2 linked regions of the Xenopus tropicalis genome follow. The protein of the gene in region 1 interacts with the protein of each later gene in a pairwise test. Links are inferred from orthologs where the notes say so. Each region holds a gene or a part of one and is shown on either strand. Other genes may lie near its edges.

Evidence for each region.
Region 2: the proteins of nfyc (region 1) and dr1 interact in binary tests that used the Homo sapiens proteins (3 or more experiments, as listed by UniProt). The link is inferred for Xenopus tropicalis from reciprocal best matches to the Homo sapiens genes NFYC and DR1.

What each region holds. Positions count from the first base shown.
Region 1 is NC_030678.2:87,830,266-87,835,252, reverse strand, and holds the start of nfyc (nuclear transcription factor Y subunit gamma), read right to left. Parts: upstream 3,129-4,987; 5' UTR 3,006-3,128; intron 1-3,005. UniProt on the Homo sapiens protein: Component of the sequence-specific heterotrimeric transcription factor (NF-Y) which specifically recognizes a 5'-CCAAT-3' box motif found in the promoters of its target genes.
Region 2 is NC_030680.2:104,112,580-104,117,677, forward strand, and holds the start of dr1 (protein Dr1), read right to left. Parts: upstream 3,214-5,098; 5' UTR 2,991-3,213; coding exon 2,771-2,990; intron 1-2,770. UniProt on the Homo sapiens protein: The association of the DR1/DRAP1 heterodimer with TBP results in a functional repression of both activated and basal transcription of class II genes.

The DNA of each region.
Region 1 (4,987 bases):
TTGAACTTCTTTAAAGTAGGCTAGTGAGGACATCCACAGTACTGTGGGACATCTAACGAAAAAATGTTTAGCATGCAGAACCATAATTTTACACAATGAAAGAGACAATTGTTTCTAGATTGTGTTTTACTGTTGTCTGATATTTGCATAGCATGCTCTGTTTATGTTATATTTAAAGATTATCATAAATTCAACACCAACACGAAAGGGGTAATTTATGTCTGCAAATGATGGGGAAGGAAAACCACCCCCCCTTTTTTTTTTTGCACCAGAATTTCAGCATCATTGCATCTGACACAACTGTATTGCCTCTGATGTTACCACATCCGATTTGCCAAAATTAAAGTGTGCATTACATCAAAAATCAGACACAACTGGTAGAAGCCCATCTGGTGTCATTTCTGTTTTTACAATACAATCAAGTTGGGGCTGTAAGAACCAGTTGCTATGACTGAGTTCCACATTCTAGTCTTAAAGGGGACACTGTCCGTTATAATAACCTTCAGTATGCTATAGACTAATTTAATAAAGGTTTCATTTTGAATAGTTTTCCTTTTTTTCCTATTGTGTTCTTTCAAGTATGCAACTGAAAAAACGGCAACCAAAAACCACTGACTGCAAAGCCTTTTAATGTAATTCTTATTTATTGTTTTCCTTTCCGTCTAGATCATCTCCTGTTCATCATGATTTATACATTGCTGTCTGGCTTCTTGGATACTTAAGCCTAAATTCAAAGCCCGAGAACTGTACAACAAAAATCATGTGAATCATCACAGAATACCATTGTCCACATAAGAGATGCAGTGAATCCTGGATTTGACCTAATCAAACTGCATGGCCAAAACAAATCCTTAAAGGAACAGTAACACCAAAAAATGAAAGTGTTTTAAAGTAATTAAAATATAATGTACAGTTGCCCTGCGCTGGTAAAACTGGTAAGTTTGCAACAGAAACGCTACTATAGTTTATATAAATAAGCTGCTATGTCAACACGGGGGCAGCCATTCAAGCTGGGAAAAAGGAGAAAAGGCACAGGTTACATAGCAGATAACAGATAAGCTTTGTAGAATATAATGGGGTTTTATATGTTATCTGCTAAGTAACCTGTGCCTTTTCTCCTGTAAATGGCTGCCCCCATGGCTACACAGAAGCTTTATTTACATAAACTATAGTAGCCTTTCTAAGTAAAACACACCAGTTGTAATGCTGCCCTGTAGTGGTACATTATATAGTAATTACTTTTATACACTTTCATTTTTTGGTGTTACTGTCCCTTTAACTTAATCCTTGGATAAAACAATTTTTCATAAAAGACTCGAGATTCGGCCAAATAACCACAGTGGATTCAGTGAATCCCTAGTCCACATTAAGAATTATTTTTTTTTGTGAACAACCCTACTCGTGATTGAGGTGGGAAAGTCTGACTACTTAAACTAGGGTGAGCAGTCATTGTAAAATAAATAGGTACTTCAAGGAAGGAAATCGAATGCACTTAAAAGAACTAAAATAAAACATAGCAAGTTTGGTCTAATAAGAGCTTCACCTTTTACTACTTTCATTGTTTTAAATGGTTTTGCCTTTAAAATACATTGGACATACAAATCTCAAACATTCTATAAAATTAAAGTATATAGAATTGTGAGTGGGTTCCTTAAATGAGAATGTCTGGGAAACTGTGCCTTTCCAACAACTGTCGAACTCAGTAGCTTGAGTCATAATGCTGAAGGCTATATTTTTAGTACTGTACATGATAAGGAGCATATTAAGCAGCTGTTGCTTTCACCATGTAAAATGATCAGATAGCAACTAAAAAGATTTGGATAAAGTCCTGTATAACTGTTAAATGCAATAGAATGTGTTATCCCTATAAAAGGGAATAACGCATACAGTGGCATATAAAGCTGGTAAGGTCAGTTACAATTATGTAATTCCAGGTAAAAGGCCTGCCAATTGAGCACTGCCAAACAGATTTCCAATTTTTAGGTTATTGAGATTGAACAGTTACAATTTGGTTGGGAGAAAAAAAAAGACTGTCCAATGACAGTCACAAATAGCTTAGTACAAGTTGATCCAGGGATTGGTCCGATTGCCACTTTGGAGTCAGGAATTAGAGAGGCTTCAGATGGGGTTTTTGGCTTCATCTGAATCAAATAGCATGTGGGTTTCATATAGACATTAAAGGCTAAATTTGGACGTGTCTTTTTTCAACCTAATTTACTATGTTACTATGACTGTAAACTGCTGCTGAAAGATCACCCTGTGGGTAGGCCCTCTGCCTAGTTGCTAGGGTAAACTGGACATAGCAACCAGAATTTCCAAACTGAAGATCTGCCGACCAAAATAGCTTAATCATTTAGAAACCACAGTAAATACAAATGAAGACTAACTGCACGTCTCAGGGATACCACTGCCTATATGTTACGTTACTGAAAGCTAATTCTGAAGGAGAATTAACCTTTAATACGCTTTTGAAAGATAAGGCTGCAGCAAGACTCCGCTACTCCAAAATGTCAAAGGCATAATTAAACAAGCCAATAAAGAGAAAGCCCAAATAATTCTTAGTTTTGTTAGCACCTATTGTCTTTGTTCTTGGGGAGGTACTTGGTGAACAACCTAATTAATAACAAATAAGCGAATTCGGCGCTCTGGAAGCACCGCCCTTATCTGAACAGTACAGGAATGTAGCGAATACAATTCAGCAAGAACAAAGGGCACCACATAACTATTAATATACAGCCCTAGGCATCCGGTAAAAGCAAAGTCGGTGCCATGTACTAGTTCGGTGCTTCAGCTCTCCCGCCTCCTCCTTAGCCTAGTTTCCGGCCATCACCGACCAATCACACCGGCCACATTGCGGCCTCCACCAATGAGCGAGGCCCGAGGCGGGGAGAAAGGAACAGAACCGGTACATGCCACCGAAATCTGTTCCTTGCATAGCATTGTTCTTGGAACCAGGGTTTTCCATCTACTTCCTTAACCCACCCGCCAAGGAATAACTCACTCACCGGCTGCCTCGGTGCAGCGTACCAATGATCGGCTTTTCCTACAGCTTCCTAAACACGCCAAGGTCCACCGGCTGAATAATCGTTTGTAAGGGACAAAAACTTCAAAAGGAGACAGTCGTTAACCTGGTCAGGGCGCTCCGGGAGACGAGGGGGAGGGGTTAGCGGGAACCGAAACAAGATGGCGGACACTGGGTATAGAATTCCCGCCCACTGTATAGTTAACATTGCGCCTGCGCTGAATTTAACGTCAACACCTACGACTGCAAAGATAGCCAATGAGAAATAAGGAGAAGGGATTTTACTGCGCGTTTCTGTAAGACGTTTCCAGAGTAACTGGGACAAGTATTAATCAGTGCTGCTTTGAGATGGCAGCGAAAATGGACTGAGCCGATAGTCTTTTGTTTTATCACGATCATCAGCTGTGTATATAAAAATCTATTTATTTAGTAGATTTTGTGGTGGCTTATTATAATATTACCAATTAGATTGTAAGCTTTACGGGGCAGGGACCTTCTTCCTACTGTGTCTCATACCACATGGCACTTACCCCCTGTGCATTTATACTTATTTATTATATTTATTATAACTCTTGTCCTCCCTGTGTGTAATTGTAAGACTGTACAGCGCTGCATACCCATGCAGCGCTTTATAAATAAAGTTATACATACATACATAGGGGCAGATTTACTAATGCACGAATGGACCGAAAGCGCCCGAACGCATTTTTTCGTAATGATCGGTATTTTTGTGACTTTTTCGTCACCGTCGCAACTTTTTCGTATGTCCTGCGATTTTTTCATCGCCGTTACGACTTTATCGTATATTTTCCGCGACTTTTTCGACGAAAAATGCAGGGCTGTGGAGTCGGAGTCGAGGAGTCGGAGGCAATTTTGGGTACCTGGAGTCGGAGTCGGCAAAAAATGAACCAACTCCGACTCCTACTAAATTTAAATGGGAATAAAAAAAAAAAAATAAAGCAAGTTTAAATGTCCCAATTCACAAACAGTCATAATTAATTACTTCTCTGCTATAAGAATAAAGCCCAATGCACGTAGTGCATAAACGAACGCGTTGAGTGACCATGAAGCTTTTCATTGGCTGTATGCTTCACTAAATGGGACGTAACGCACAGTTAAGGTGCGGCAGCTCCACTGCGTCGTGTTCCTCTGTTACTGGGAACCCAACGCCCACTGGCAACCCAGCCTAACTCTCACTGATAACTAATTAAGTAAAAAAATTGCAGGACTAGAAATACTTGTATACGTGAAGGGAATGGATAGTCAATAGTATAAGACTGAAGCTTTAAAACATTTGAAAAACTGCTGTAATTCAGCTGTAATGTTAGCTTAAACTTTAAACATGACTATGGGATTCTAGGGAAATCATTAGAAGTAGGAGTATAGATAAAATTGTCTATCAGTTTATTATCAGTTCAGTTGTGTTTTAAGTGCCCCTTCCCCCCTGCCCCTTCCTGGATGTATAAAATACATTAGCACAGTGCTGTCCAACTTCTGCGGTGCCGAGGGCCGGAATTTCTCGCGCATACATGGTGGAGGGCCACTAATAGAAGCCAGTTTTGACCACTCCCCTCTTTTAAACCACACCCACTTCAAACCACACCCATTTTATCACAATGGTGGTAGTGCAGCAAAAACCCAAAAGCTTGGTCCTCACTGCAGGGATATGAACCACCATTCATATGTGAAAAAAGTATATTATGTCATATTAAGACACACCCTAAAATCCATATGACTCCTCCTCCCCTGTGGATAGCACAGCAACCCCCAGCATATAATTACACACCTTAGGGACCATTTAATGGCTATTTCCAACTGCTAACAAACTCCCAGAACAAACCCCTGCCAGGTTCACCTCCCAAAGGCAGCATAGGGTAGGCAGAGTATGGCACACACAGGCAGCACTCAGCCTGCCCTACGCTACCTGTGTGTGCCATACTCTGACTGCCCTATGATGCCTGTGTC
Region 2 (5,098 bases), on another chromosome or scaffold:
TAATGACCTCATGCTAAAACTGATTATAGTGTGTTAATGTGATAGGTACCCTAAACTGTAAGCTCTACTGGGGCAACGACTGATGTGAATAAAGCTTAATCTCTGTAAAGCCCTGTGGAATATGCACACTATCAATTACTGTGCCATCTCCAGAATATCATGTCCTGGGGATGGCATTTCAGAGATTTGAAAACAGTGTCAGCATACCTTTATGGTGACACACAGAGCTACTAGTAGCAGCTACTTGTCACAACTACAAAAATAGACAATGCTGATCATCTACCGATATTTGTATTTGTGCGTTTTAGCAAAGTAAATTCTCAGTACTGTTGATGACAGGCTGCTACTATGTAGCCCCGCGTGTCTTTGCCTTTAGATTGCATGCATTAAACCCTTTGTGCAATATTTGGTATTAGGTCCCTAATTAAAGTGTTAAATAAACATGTGGTGGTATATTAGTAAATACAGCAACTTTCTAGTAAATATCTGCCTCTGTAGTGTTATAAAACACCACCTGTTTTAAGAGATGCATAATGCTCAAATGGTTAACAATGGCATAGATGAATGCAAAACCTGGAATTGGATGGTGAGGGGATGGTCAGTGCAGAACAATGTTGCAAGCCAACCAATAGGTTCTTGGGGATCTTTCAAATTACACTATTCATGAAAAGTAAAAAGAAGAGAAAGTACAAACTAACCTAGTAAAGTAACCTAGCTTCAACTGTGCATGCTACAGCAGGCTCTAAATCAGTGAACTTCAAGAAGGGTTTACCCTAGCAACCAGGTGGTAGTTTGAATGAGAGACTAGATGATTAGGAAATGGCCTGAACAGAAAGAGAACATAAAAGGTAGCAATAAAAATACAACGGGAGCCTCATGGAGAAAGAAAACATAAAAGGTAGCAATAAAGGTGGCCATACACATAGCAATAATCCTCCACTGATGTTCAGGGCTGAATAGTCAGATATGGAGGTAGAAACAATAGAAATTCTACCTCCACTTGCCGATTCAGCCCTGAACATTGGGTGCCTTCAATGGAACCCAATCAAAATCTTTTAACCTGGCCGAACGACGAGTCGACTGATATCCGTCTTCTGCAATATCGGTCGCCTCTTCGAGCCGCCATACATGTATTGAATATCATAAGAAACAAGGTTTCGCTTAATAATATTGGTGCGTGTATGGCCAGCTTAAAAATACAACTGGAGCCCCCCCCCCCCCCCTGAAAGCTGAAGAGAGGCAGAAAAGGATAGCAGATAAATAAAAAAAAATAAATAAACAGCTAACCCGCTACCATATGCTCCTTCCTCCAGTGTCTAGATTGACAAGTGCAGCATTGTCCTGTTTGCAGAGGCACAGAGTGGATTTCAAAGAGGAACTGTGAAAGTATGCATTGTCACAACAAAATCTGTTCTGTGCGTTTGCACACAGCCCAATGCTGTGGCTGTCAGAAAGGAGTGGATAAGGGGATTGGCTGTTTTGTCTGCCTACATTTATATGCTGATGAAGAAATAGGCAACATAAATGGATTTGCCAGAGTTGAATTTTACTTTCTCCTAATACAAAGATAAACTAATCTTTACCGGACCACTAAATGAATGCTAAGCAGTACGGTTCACAGAGTACAACCATACTACCAACCCATGGAGTGTGTTAAAAATGCACATTAGTGGTTAGTGTATGAGTGATTGTTCTATTCTCAAAACACATCAGGTTAGTTCAACTAGCAAAAAGCTATGATGCAACTTGACTGCCTCTTTTAGTTTAAATAAGATGTAATGAGTTATACAATATATGACTTGATATGCAAGCATATTCCATAGTGTCTCCAACACCTCAGGTGTCTACTCAGCTCCAAAGTCATGGCTGCAGCTCACATGCAAGGACCACCAAGGGCTACAGTTTTGAAAGGGAAGTAGAGAGCCAGCCAAGTTTTACATCATTTCTGGGATAATTAACATTGTTTTGGTTGATTTCCACCATAGCCTCTGAGCCATATAAGTTGTACCTCAAATTGAGGGTTTGTTTTGGCAGATCATCCCATAATCCTCTCAGGCGCAGATCTGTCCATATTCAAAATGTTATTTGCCAATGTATAATGTTTGCTGGGGCTAAGCAAAAGAGAAACCACAGTTCTGTCCTTACAAATATATAATCAGAGGTTGCAGCCGGCAGTAGTACAGACTAGTATATTATATGGGAAAAAAAGAAGGATATTATAAATCACTGAGAAGTTCCATGAGCGTGAGAGCTTTTATACAGGTCATGGAACTCCAAGATGACTTCTAATGTCCAATACTGATAGAATAGCGCAGCACTCCAGTTCCAGGAAGACATGACCATGCCATAAGTACTAACAATGGCGGTTTTCCATATAACCTGGAGTGCCGTAGTATTGTATCAGTACTGGATTGTTGAAGTGTGCAGACATTTGGATTGCATGCACCAGCTGAGAAACCTGAAACATATGGCGAGCGCTGGATAACTGCTGTCTGGCTAGTGACTTCTAATATCTTCATATAGTGTCACAGAAGATGCTTTATTATTATAAACAAGTTCTAGGGAGTCATGTGACAGATATGACATCACTAAGCACTGTTTATAACTGATAACATCATCAAACACTATTCATAAGAACAGTATTTACAGGCTCTGGTGTATTATATGTATAGGCTAACATGCAGTCCCCACAGCGCATCAGTAGCCCCAGCTGCTTGTACACTAGCCCAGCAGCCAGAGAGTGGGGCGCTTCCCCGCTGCTTACACTTACCCTGGATGACATGCTCGGGCGATATGGTTTTCTTCTCTGACTTGTTACAGATCTCATTCGCCTCGGAAGAGATTAGGTGAATGAACTCCGTGCAGCAGTTTACCACCAGTTCCCGAGCATCATTGGCTACTCTAACATTGGGCAGAGTTTCTTTAATCATTTTATTGATGGCAGCCCTGGGAATAGTGAGGTCATCATCGTTCCCTGATGAAGAGGCCATTGCTCCGCAGCCCTATTTCCTAGAAGCGGCCGGAAACGGAGACCGGATGGCAAGATCCAGGCCTTGGAGAAATGTTTTAGTTTGAAGAGGATATTTTTGTGAATTAAATCACGCACGAACAATAAAAACAAAATAAATCCAAGAGACACGGAGGTCTGGCGGGAAGGCGCACGAAAAGACAAGCGCCCGCTGTGGCTCACCGGTCTCTTTTACACCATCCTCACGGCTCCTCCCTCAGCCAACACAACAAGCACCCACTCGCAATGCACGGAAGAACGGGTCACCGAAGTATAAAACACAACCAATTATACAAAGCAAATGCCGGGTCAGCGGGACATCCCGGCAGAAAACCGGTTAGGGCAAAGAGCCACCTTCTCCCGCCGGAAGCGGCGTATGTGAGGGAGCACGGCGCCCTGATTTCCACTTCCGGTAGCGCCGAGACGCCCGTTACCATGGATGCGCTGTCGGCGTCTGGCGTCGCACAAGGAAGCGGTGCAGCGGCGTCACTGTTATTCTGCTCAAATCTCAGGTTAATAAAACCGCGTCTGTATGCCTTATTTTACTGACAAATTGCAGTTTAGTTAATGAATGGAAATCTAAGCATTTTTGCAATATAGATTAGTTAAACATTATTTGTTTACTAGTTATTAGTTTAACTTATTTGTATTTATGTATGTATGTATATCTTTATTTATAAAGCGCTACTTATGTACGCAGCGCTGTACAGTAGAATACATTAATACAAACAGGGGGTTAAAGATAATGGATAAATACAAAGTACAACAATAAATAGTTGCAATAAGAGTCAGAAACAAGATGAACGAGGTCCCTGCCCCGTAGAGCTTACAATCTATATTGTAAAGATAACTGGTATTGAAAGCAGCATTTGTCTGTCCTTTTCTGTTCTTTGCACTGTTGCTTTTGTCTTTTGAAAAAATGTGGCAGAAGCCTGCTAATTAACAGACCTGTAAGTCTGACTTCTACTACATTGATTCAAGAGACAGAAGCAGCAGCAGGGAAAGGGACAGACACAATTCTCTGTTCAGCTGAATTCATGTTTTAATATAGTTAATCAAATAGAAAAAACATTGAATAAGCTCTTTTGGGCAGGGCCCTCTTCACCTCTTATATCGGTTATTGATTGCTTTATATGTTACTCTGTATGTCCAATGTATGTAACCCACTTATTGTACAGCGCTGCGGGATATGTTGGCGCTTTATAAATAAATGTTAATAATAATAACTGAATATAAAAAAATCAAATATAAATAAACATTAGGAAAGTGAACTCTAGGTACTGTAAGGTTAGTAAAGGTCCTAAAGATGCTTTCTTGGCTGAAAAGGAGAAAGCATTTCAAAACTATAAGGCAACAATAAAGAAGGTAAACTAATTGCTTTACTTGCAAAAAAAAATGGTTTACCTTCATTCACAATATTGGGTCTTCATTTTATTTAACATTAATGAATTGGAGGAAGAGCATTGAACATTTCCAAAATTCTAGCTTAGAAACCATGCAGAAGACAGTAATACTATGTCTGCATTTCACAATATTTTTCAGAAGCAGCTCCCTGAAAACCAATAGTACCCAGCTTATAATACCCATTAGCCCAAGTTTTGGAGTGTGCATACTGAGTCCATACTGTCCAACAAATTGTATTTTTCTTTTTTTAGTCACATCTTTTTATGCATATTAATCCTTCATAGGGCAAATATTTTATATATCCTGTGGAAAAATGTTTTGGTTTTTGTAAGCAGAAATGGGCTAGGGCCTTACACTGCACATTTCTGCCTGTTAAAGAGGAGCTCACAAAGTATATTACTTTATCTTATATGGTAACAAATTAATAGGTTAATTCTGTAACCTGTATAAAACATAGAACATTTAGGAATGCAGTACAAAAATCATCTAAAGTTTAATTTTTCTGGAAATCCTTATACATTTATTTTCTATTTTGTACCAACAGTTTTACTGTATTTCCTCCTCTTGGGAGAAGTTCAGCTCTGTCTAAAACACTGCATCTTAACTGTCAGACATAATGGGTCATTAACATCTTTAAGTGCAGTGTGCAACTTGCACTTTTCTCCCAGAGTCAGTTGTGCCTAAGGC